Caenorhabditis elegans: one gene and its partner. The protein of the gene in region 2 interacts with the protein of the main gene of each other region in a pairwise test. Each region holds a gene or a part of one and is shown on either strand. Other genes may lie near its edges.

Evidence for each region.
Region 1: the proteins of Y61A9LA.3 (region 2) and rsd-2 interact in a two-hybrid assay, tested with the Caenorhabditis elegans proteins (one study listed by BioGRID).

The regions. Positions count from the first base shown.
Region 1 is NC_003282.8:13,537,098-13,542,150, forward strand, and holds the start of rsd-2 (RSD-2 domain-containing protein), read right to left. Parts: upstream 3,169-5,053; coding exon 3,050-3,168; intron 2,562-3,049; coding exon 2,265-2,561; intron 2,218-2,264; coding exon 2,080-2,217; intron 1,578-2,079; coding exon 1,443-1,577; intron 586-1,442; coding exon 453-585; intron 398-452; coding exon 255-397; intron 1-254.
Region 2 is NC_003283.11:4,568,941-4,574,147, reverse strand, and holds the start of Y61A9LA.3 (C2H2-type domain-containing protein), read right to left. Parts: upstream 3,014-5,207; 5' UTR 3,006-3,013; coding exon 2,947-3,005; intron 2,420-2,946; coding exon 2,191-2,419; intron 1,851-2,190; coding exon 1,760-1,850; intron 1,016-1,759; coding exon of another isoform or gene 224-1,015; intron 1-223. Other genes in the region: hpo-39 (uncharacterized protein), read left to right, coding at 224-1,015; sut-2 (Zinc finger CCCH domain-containing protein 14), read left to right, coding at 4,121-4,171, 4,233-4,549, 4,609-4,713.

The DNA of each region.
Region 1 (5,053 bases), on a different chromosome or scaffold from region 2:
TCTCAGATTTCGGTACTGAAACTTTAATAGAATTTTTCAAGTTTTTTGTGCCAAACAGTGGAGAAATTGGGTGAAAATTAATTTTCGATAGCTACAATTTAGAAAAAGTTGGCAAAATTCTAGATTTTAATTAGAATTTATCCCTATTTCGAGTAAGAATGCGAATTTAAGTTTTTTTGTGAGGGTGATTTTCAGCCAAATTTAGCCGTTTTTTCAGGAGATTTCGCTCCACCAATTTCGATAAAAATACACACATTGCCAACTCCACTCTATACGTGACACCTCGTTCCATCGATTCTGCTGCAACATTAACTTTTCCAAATGTATCAGCAAATGCAACACTCTGAGGATAAGTAATGTGAGTTTCAATCGATGAACATGCCGCTTTTGCAGAGATCTGAAAATATACCATTTTATATTGCTGAATATCGAAAAAAAAGAAGAAAGCTAACCAATAATTCGCCATTTTCAATTCTCGTCATCTCACATTCTCTGTATTCTATAGCATCCGGCCGGGGATCAGGGAAATATGTATCATTTTCGTAGTTGTACTCGGTGAAAAGTATGAGTTGACCGGCTTTTGCTCTGAAAATTTGGAAATTAAAACTGAGGAACAGTTCAAAACGGTATTTTGAGTGGTAAAAACCTAAAATTCGAGGTTTTCGTGTGAAAATTCGAGAAAAATCATGGGAAATTTGATAATTTTGCTCGAAAATGCTATTTTTTACATCAAATAACGCAAAAATTGGATTTCCTGGACTAAATAAACGAAAAATTCCGATTTTTCTGAAATACGCTCGAAAAATTGCTCTTTTCCAATTTAAAACATTTTTTCTGAGATCTTTTACAAAAAAATCCCGTTTTCAGCAATTTCTCACCTAAAAACTTGATTTTTTTGACGGAAAATTTAGAAATAGCCGAATATTTGAATTTAAAACCTATTTTTCTGTGAAAAAGTCTTAAAAAGCGCAAATTTCACAGAAAAATGCTTTAAAATTGGAGAAAGCTCACGAACAGCTCAAAACCACTTTTTAAGTGGTAAAAAAGAAAAAACCCCGGAAAAATCGGCGGAAACTGAGTAATTTTGCTCGAAATTGTAATTTTTAACTGAAAATCCCGATTTTTCAGTAAAAATTGCTCGTTTTCAATTTAAAACGCTCTTTTTCCGAGATTTTTCCCTTGAGACTCAAATTTTCCCGATTTCTCATGAAAAAACTTGATTTTTTAGGGAAAATTAAGAGATAGCAGAATATTTAAATTCAAAACCATTTTCTCTGTGAAAACGTCATATAAAAAACGCAAACTTCACAGAAAAATGCTTCAAAATTGGCAATTTTGGCAAAATTTCGCCAAAAAACCCCGGATATTCGAGTTTTCCAGTTTTTTACTGTAAAAAATGATTTAAAACACGATTTTTCGATTAGAAATACATAAAATCTTACGGAGAGCCGACTGGAAGATGAACTTTTATTGAAGATTCCAATTGTTCAGAATAACAGATCGCAGAATTTGTCTCCTCGTTGTCAAATAGAATAATTGCGATCACTTGTGAATCGCTCATCTTTTTCGGTGATAACCTGTTAATTTCCATATTTTAAAGCGAATCTTGAGGCACTTTTCGCGAGAAAAACTGAAGTTTATGTGTGTGTGTGAAGGGGATGCGCGTGGAAAATTCAAGGCTGTGGTCGTCTGCGTCTCGAAAAAAAGAAAAATATAAATATTTTAACTCTAAATACGAAATATTCCGCTTTTTGCGCCGAAAAACGCCTTCAAAACCAAATTTTTTTGAAAATACTCGATTTTTCATCAAATTTGACGAGTTTAGGATGGTAAAATCAGTAATATACAGCATTTTTTGTTGAAAAATCAGATTTCTCATTTGAAAAATGCGTTTAAAATATTAAAAAAACATCTTTCAAGATGAGAACAATCTGAAAAGGCAAAAAAAACAAAAACAAATCATCGTGTGCAAACACTGTGACGCAAAGTCACGGACAACTACTGTAGCCCACATGAAATTTTTATTAACATTTTCAGGTCTAGAATTCAGATAAATTCACGAAAGTCTATCAAAATTACCTTAATTCTTCAAGTCTGTTTTGCTCGAAAATTTCCAGTTTCATCATGGTGTCAGATGTGTCTTTGTTTGCCAAAAATTTGAGTCGCCCGGTCACTTTGAAAAGTGGATTTCCGCTTTCTTGGTAGTTTAGGTCATTTCTGCAATTAATGATCGACTTTTTGGATGATAACCCCTGAAAACGTACACATAAATGAACGCTTTATAAACTCCTGGTCCGGTAGGTGGAGAATCCGAACAATCAACGATTCCATACCAATCCGCGTACCCCAGATCTCTGTTATAGGTGAGATAGTTCGGATTGTCACCGAAAGCTATCCAGCTCTTGTAATATACGACCTGTTCATTTGTATGAGTGGGTAGGATTACACAATCTGCCGGTTCAGGTTCTTTGATGGTTGAGGTGCTGGCATCAATTTTCATTACCCCATCTTCTGTCATCACCTCATTTTCGATGAAGGTCAGGAAAAAACCTGGCCGGGGCCTGAAAAATGATAAAAGTGCACGGCCATGTGTCGATTTACGCTGTATGTGTACTCCTCGTGGAGAACTGTTAATTTTTGCAGTAAAATTCTTGATTGTAGATCATTTCCGATAAATTGTTTTAAATTTCAGATTTAAATTGCTGATTAATATTTTATTTATCTTTTTTTTTCAATTTAAAGTGTAAGAAAAACGCGAAAAAATGGAGTACACAACGGTTCATCAATAGAGCGCGTTTAACAACCTAAAATAATTAAAATTTAAATTTTTCCCAGAAGTGGGCAACAACTTGCCTACGTTTACGAAATAAATTAATAATTTTAAAAAGTGTTTAATTTAAAAAAAATTCAAACTCGACAATTTCCACTCAAAATCTGTAAAACCTTCTCCTCGAGGAGAACACTCGCTGCGTAAATCGACACATGGCCGTGTTAGAGTTTTTTCACGGCCATTCTTCTATCTCCACTCATAAAGGTGTGTTCAACTTACTCCAATTGTTGCTGCCCTTCGATGCGAGCCCAAAAGAACTCGTGGCTCTCCCTTTTAAAACAGCCAAAGACGTCATTTTCTTGATCATGGTGCAGGATGAGTACTCGGCAGGAGGACATTATGCTGAGATATTACAAAAAATTTGAAAAAATAGCGTTAGAATGACGGGGGGACGAGAGATTCAAGCAAGTGGTGTCAGACTGTCTCGTTACAGTTTCATCTACAAAAAATGTGGGAATATTTTTCCAGAAAAGTTGTGACGTCAGCACGTTCTCATCCATGCGAAATCAGATGAGACGTCTGCGTCTCACCTCCCGCATTTTTTGAAGATCAAACCGAAATAAGACATTCTGACTGTGTGCAAAGAAAAAACAAAAAAAAACAAAAAAAAAAGATCAAAGTGTGAGAAACAGGTTACCGGCGAGAAAAACAAATTTTTAGAAATAAAAAACAACACAATTTTTGAACCCGAAACCTTCCACAAAATGCCTGCCTACATGCCTACTGGTAAACTAAAAGAAACACCGGAAATCAGGCAAAAGTGTAACCACGTATGCAAGCAGGCGTGAGGTATGGGATATTTTTGTATTTTTCTTTTTTGCGTAAGGTGAGTAGGCAGGCAGGTAGGCGTACCGGTAGGCGTGAGGTAGGCACGTAGACCTACATTCAGGCATGGTGTAGGCATCAGAACTTGCCTGTCTACCATAGAACAACCTATAAATTAGAAAAAAAAATAGGTCGCGTAGAATGTTTTTTTTTTCAAATTTTCGTAATACCTCAGACACCTGTCCAGTTATGAAAGATTATTATCTGATCTAAATATTAATTTTTGAGGCGTTAAGAAGTGCCAAACTTTCTACGAAAAAACGAAAAAAAAACCAAAAAAAAAAGCAACTTTCAAATCGAATAAAAGAGAGAGAAAAGAGAGAGAATAGAGAAATAGACAACTGGTCGTTTGCTCTGTTGTCATGATTTACGACAGATGACCTTAGGCCTGAACCTGATAATGTAATTTTTTATTGCGCTCGTTACAAGTTACCGAGCACTAAAATGGCAAAAACACCATAAATACAAAAAAATAAAGAAATCCAATACATTTTTTTTGAAATACTAATCTTATATCACACTAGGCTAATTGATCGGTTCCTCTACGATAGACACATTCTCATACCTACGTAGCCACACCACGCCTGCCTACAGTTTGTACCATGTTTTTTATAGCTTGACAGTAGGCATGTAGGCATGAAGTAGGCAGGAATTTTCTTGCCTACTTGGAAGGCTTGTTGCCACAAGTTCTGATTGAAGAAGTTACTGTAGCCAAAAAAGAGTTTTTTTTAAATCTATCTATAACTTTTAACATGAACAAACATAAATCGGCAATTTTAATTTTGAAAAAAATCGTCCAAAAACTCTTAAATCTTTAGAATTTTAAATCAACAGCTAAACGAGGGTTTTCCGGTCATTCTTCCATTATCAAAGAGAGTTTGGAATCCTATTAAAGTTACTTCTATAGGTTACAGCCTATTTTCGGGAAAATTACCAAATTTAATATTCAGCTGAATATTCAGCAATATTCAGCTGAAATGAATTCAGCAAGTAGCAAAACCTAACTTTTTGGAAACGTTGGAAATCGAATGAAAATAGATAATATTCCAAAAAATGGAGACACGGAAAAGAAGAGGAAATGGAAATAATCACGGGCAGGAAATGAATAATGCTGCAAGTCAAAAGACGGTGAGAGACGCAGAGAAATAGGTGTCCTCCCAGGAGGAGGAGGAGTTTGATATGTAATTTTTTAGGCCAAGCAATAAGAGGGGTATAGTGCAATGTTTTTCCAGTTGCTCACGGTACCTTCAAGCTGTGACCGCACGTGGTGTTAGAGTGTCTCACTTCGGCTTGATCTACGTAGATCTAAAAAAATGCGGGTGAAGAGACGCAGAGTTCTCAACTGATTTCGCAACAGCCTGACACCAAACGACGGGCAAACTGTTTTTGTTTTTTCAC
Region 2 (5,207 bases):
TAGTTTCAGCATCTAAACAGCATATGTATAATGTTTCAGAAAAAGTTTAGGTTTTGTATTCCCGTAATCCATCATTTTACATTGACCACTTTCACCGCTGCTTGCCGACTGAATACATAATTTTTTGACTTGGAAATTGTTTTAGCATCTGCAAAAAATATTTGGTTTAATTACCCAAGTTTGAGTTTGAGGTACGCCGGTCAACTGCTGCAGGTCATTGGTCATGTCGGAACCACCTCCTCCTCATTCCGCCCCAGTGCCTATGGTGAAGACGGATTTCTTCGCTTTCTCTGGTCCTTATCTCCCGGAGGACGCTCACGGTACGAGTTCTCCGCCGGAGAAACAACAGCAAACCCGGAAGCGCGGTCGCCCGACCGCTCTTGAATTGCTCACTACCCGTGTTGAAGAATTGGAAAAGGAAAATTCGAGCTTGAGAACCTTCCGTACCGCCGCTGAAAGCAGATGTCGTGCCCTGGAGAGCAAACAATCGGAACTCTTCCAAACCGTCGAGCAGCTCAAGGTAGTTGTTGCCAAGCTCACGAACGAATGCTCTGCCCGTGTTACCTCCAATTTGCCCGCTCCACGCCTGTTCGCCGATGTTCTCAAGGGACAATCAGCCGAGAAGAAAGCAGAGATCATTGCAGAAAGACGTGAAGCAGCAGCCAGCATTTCCCTGTTTGAGAAGAAGACTCATTTCGCCGTGATTGAAAATCTACCGGATGATGGCTCGGATTCACAATCCGCCAAGGATAAGGTTTTTCTCGATAATTTAATTGCCGCTAATCCCTCCCTCCCTGTACATATTCAAACTTTCCGCGTCAAAACTCGCAAACCAGTCTTATCCCGCCCAACAAAAATTCGTTTCTCTTCTGAAGCCGACCGCAATTCGTTCATTTTCTCTTTCTCCAAAACTCTCCGTTCGTTGCCTGATCGCCCCACTAACCTTCCAAGACCCATCCGCTGCAGACGCGATATGACCAACGATGTTATCTATCCTGAGAGAGTTGAGAGCTGACGCTTATAACAGAAATACCCAAGCTGGCGAGATTCGTTATTATGTGCGCGACCTTAAGATTGTGACTCTCTCGTCACCGCGTCCACTTCCTATCTCTGTTGATTCGGCTGCTCCCGTTGCTAACGCATAGGTAAACGGCCACCGGGCTTTATTATCGTCTTGTCCGTCCATTGCTTCTCAAAGTGTGTCTTTCAAAGGTGTAATTTATCGTACGCGTCATACAGTAGCAGGCTTTCCCAATTTAATTTATTGTCTACCCACCATAGACGGGTTCTTCAAATCCTCCGAACCTTCCATAAAATTATTTCAAGCGAGTATCACTTCCCGTCCTTATCATCGTTCGTTCGAGCTTCACGCTCTACTCGTCACCCCTATCTACTTGTTGTCTGTGGCGTCCCGTCTAAATGTTTTCTACATGTTAACTTGTCGTTGTGGAACCGAATAGCAAAACGTTTCCCTAAACTGTTAACTCCAAATGCATTTGCGTCGCGCCTAGGCTCTATCCCATTTGACACCCTCTTCCCCCCAACTTGACCTCCCGGGCTATAGCTGGTCCAATTGGTCATTTTATTTATCTGTCCACACATCTTTTTTATTTTACTTTTTTTCTTTGTCTTCCGGTGTAGCTATTTCTTGTGGCAAATAAACAATTATTATTACTTTTCCGAATTTTTGAATCGCCATCACTTTTTTGAGAAATTTTCGGCAGTTTCGGGCCATTTTGGGTCCAGTCTAAAAACGTACCACTGATAACTTGAATTTCTGGAGATGCAGACCGACTTCTCGCGATTTCCATTTCTCCGCCAATGTGCTCAAAGTCTAGTCTCGGCTGAAACTATTTAATTCGTGAATTTTCATCAAAATCCGAAAAAAAAGTCTAAAAACCAGAAAAACCACATCGCAACCAATCAGCGATTCGCTCCGCCCATCCTTCAACCAATCAGATTGAGTGGGCGGAGTTCGAAGTCGTTGATTGGTCGGGGAATTCTCGTTTTGAAGTCAATTCTCAAAATGAGGATTCCCCGACTTCGAACTCCGCCCACTCCATCTGATTGGTTCAAAGATGGGCGGAGCGAATCGCTGATTGGTCGGGGAGTTTTGGAGGGAATTTCAGCGAAAATTGAGTTTTTAAGTTGGATTTTTTGAACTTTTCGACTCAAAATCGCGCTCCTTACATGTCTGAGCAACGGCTGTCTCCCTTCATTTCTTCCCATCGTCGTCAAATCCTCTCCAAACGGCCCCTTATCGAAACCACGTCTTCTCGAATTATCCACTACGGGTCCATTATAGGTGTCCACCACCGGCTGAAATCCGTGATACGGATCACTTCCTCCAAGAATTGCAGCTCTCATAGAAGGAACCGGCGGGCCAGGACGTCTATCGAAATCGCCACGTCTAGCATCACTGAAAAAATATAAAAAAATGAGTTTTATTTTTTTTTCCCGGAAAATCCGGATTTTTTCATCCTCAGAGGTGAGGTACCGAAATTTGAGACTTTGCTTTTTAGACCCAAAATGGTCCAAAACTACCGAATTTCGTAATGAGACGTTCTGAAAATATTTCAAAAAAAAAGTTATGACCGCTCGAAAATTTTGGAAAAAATGGCCAATTTTTAGCTAAAATCTCAAATTTTTTCCAACTTCTCGGTGTTGCAGCGGTTAGAACTTAATTATTATTTTTTTATCACTTTTTAATAAATATTGTGGTCTTTGATTAGGCGTTTATTCGTTGATTTAAGTACATTTATGGTCAGTGGGGCACAAAATTTAACTTTTATTTGTGCCCCACTGACCATAAATGTACTAATCAATGAATAAACGCCCAATCAAAGACCACAATATTTATTTAAAAGTGATAAAAAAAATAATAATTAAGTTCTAACCGCTGCGACACCGAGAAGTTGGAAAAAATTTGAAAAAAAAACGGCTCACATTGGAATATGCGGAGGAATTATCCGATTTGGAACATGTTCGTACGACGAATGTCGCATGTCTCTAGCTGGAAAAAAAAACCGGAAATTCGTGGACAAGAACGGATTTGAGGAGGAAAAACGAGGGGAGACGCAGACAGAAATGCACGCAGCCACAGAAAATCGATAGTTTTCCACGAAATCAGTCTAGAAATATTTGGAAAAAAATTATTTCAAGGATGGAAATTGCTGGTAAAACTGTGAAAGTGCTTCAAAAATCGATTGAAAATGAAAAAAAATCTAAATATTAAATTTCATTAAATTCTCTCAATTTCTAGTTGTTTTTGGTGATTAAATGAACAAAATATGCATTTTTTCGGCAAAAAAAATCCGAAAATCTGAAATTTTAAGCTCGAAAACCTAAGAAACTCTCTGAAAATCGATAAAAACAAGAAATCATAAATTTCAATCTATTTTCAGTTATTTTTGGTGATTAAATAAACCAAATACACATTTTTCCGGCAAAAAACCCTGAAATCCTCTGAAAATCGATTAAAACTTAAAAAAAAATGAAGCGTCCGTAAAAATAAAGAAAAATCATAAATTCCAGCGATTTTCTTAATTTCTAGTTATTTATAATGATTAATTGAACAAAATAGGCATTTTTCGACAAAAAACCCTTAAAATCTTCAATTTTAACACAGAAAACCTGAGAAATCCTCTGCAAATCGATTAAAAAACACAAAAACCTTTTATGCAAAAATCTGCATTTTGTCGTCACAGTGTGTGCATACTTTACACCGAATCTTACGACAAATAATTGTCGCTGCTGGCATTGTGAGAGAGAAAGGGATACACGTGATTTTCGTATAATTCCGATTCGTTTTCCCTGAATTTTTCTAATTAATTTATTGAATTATTTTAAATTATTGATTTTCTGTCAATTTTCACACAAAAATTGCCGCTGATTTATTCAAAGTGTCGGTTTTTATCCCGTTATTTGAATATTTTCGAAAAACCAGATTATTTGTGGTTTTAGTGATTTTTAGTGAACTTCCGGAAGTTTCTTGAGCCAATATAACTTTGAAATCAGTTTTTAAAGCTTACTATGACATTATTATCTTAAAAATTGGAACAAAAATTGTGATATTTAGCTTATTGATTTTTTTTTGGTTTTCAGATATAATCTGTTCGAAATGAATACTCAAACAGGGACAGGAACCTCAGAAGTGTCGAAAAAACTAAAGGTAACGTTAAATAAGTTAATAAATTTCAAAAATCGCAAAAATTAATAATTTTTTAATTCAGGCCGCGATTCGAGCCAAACTTGAAGAGCTCGGCGTCTACGTGGACGATGAATTACCCGATTATATTATGGTAATGATTGCGAATAAGAAGGAAAAAGTGCAGATGAAGGACGATCTCAACTTATTTATCGGAAAAAGCACTGCGAAATTCGTCGACTGGCTTTTTGATCTGTTCGATCGCCTACAAAACGCTTCGAACAAGCAAGGAGAGACTAGTAAAAAGGAGGAGGATAAGAGAAAAGAGCTGGAAGCAACAGCAGCAGCAAAGGAGCATGAAGAGAAACGAAGAAAAGAGAAGGAAGAGCATGAGAAAGAACTGTAAGTGCCGAGCGAAGGAATAAGAAATAATTAAAAATTGAAAATTTCAAAAATTCCAGGCAAAAAGAAAAAGAACGTGAGAAGGAGCGTCAACGAGAACGTGATCGTGAAAAGCGGGCCGAAGAGGAGAAGCGTCGTGAGGAGAAGAGAAAAGAGATTCAGAGGTAGTTTTCTGATAGAACACAGAATATTTCGGGATCACAAAATTCTGAGAATGCGTATTGCGCAGCATATTTGACGCGCAAAATATCTCGTAGCGAAAACTACAGTACTCTCTCTCTCTTTAAAGGAGGACTAACGGTTCGGACTCAAAATGAGCTCAATCACGCTCTCCTCAAAGCTGATTAATCATTAGAGCGCGCTCCGCCTCTATTTCTGTGCGACGCTGCTTTTTTTGTGCAAAATTCAAGAATTAAAGGTGGTGTATTCAAAATTTTTATTGTTTTATTAGACTTGAAATTGTCTCAAAACACCGAATTTCATAATGAAACTTCTTGAAAACTTCTCAAAAAAAGTTATGGCGGCTCAAAAAATGGACTAAATGTAGTTAAAATTTGAAATTTGACTTGTCAGCGGCTGGAAACTAATTTTTTTTTTGAAATTACCGTCAAATTTTGAGTATAAAATGTAATTATCTTGCTTTTTCAACTTGATTTAA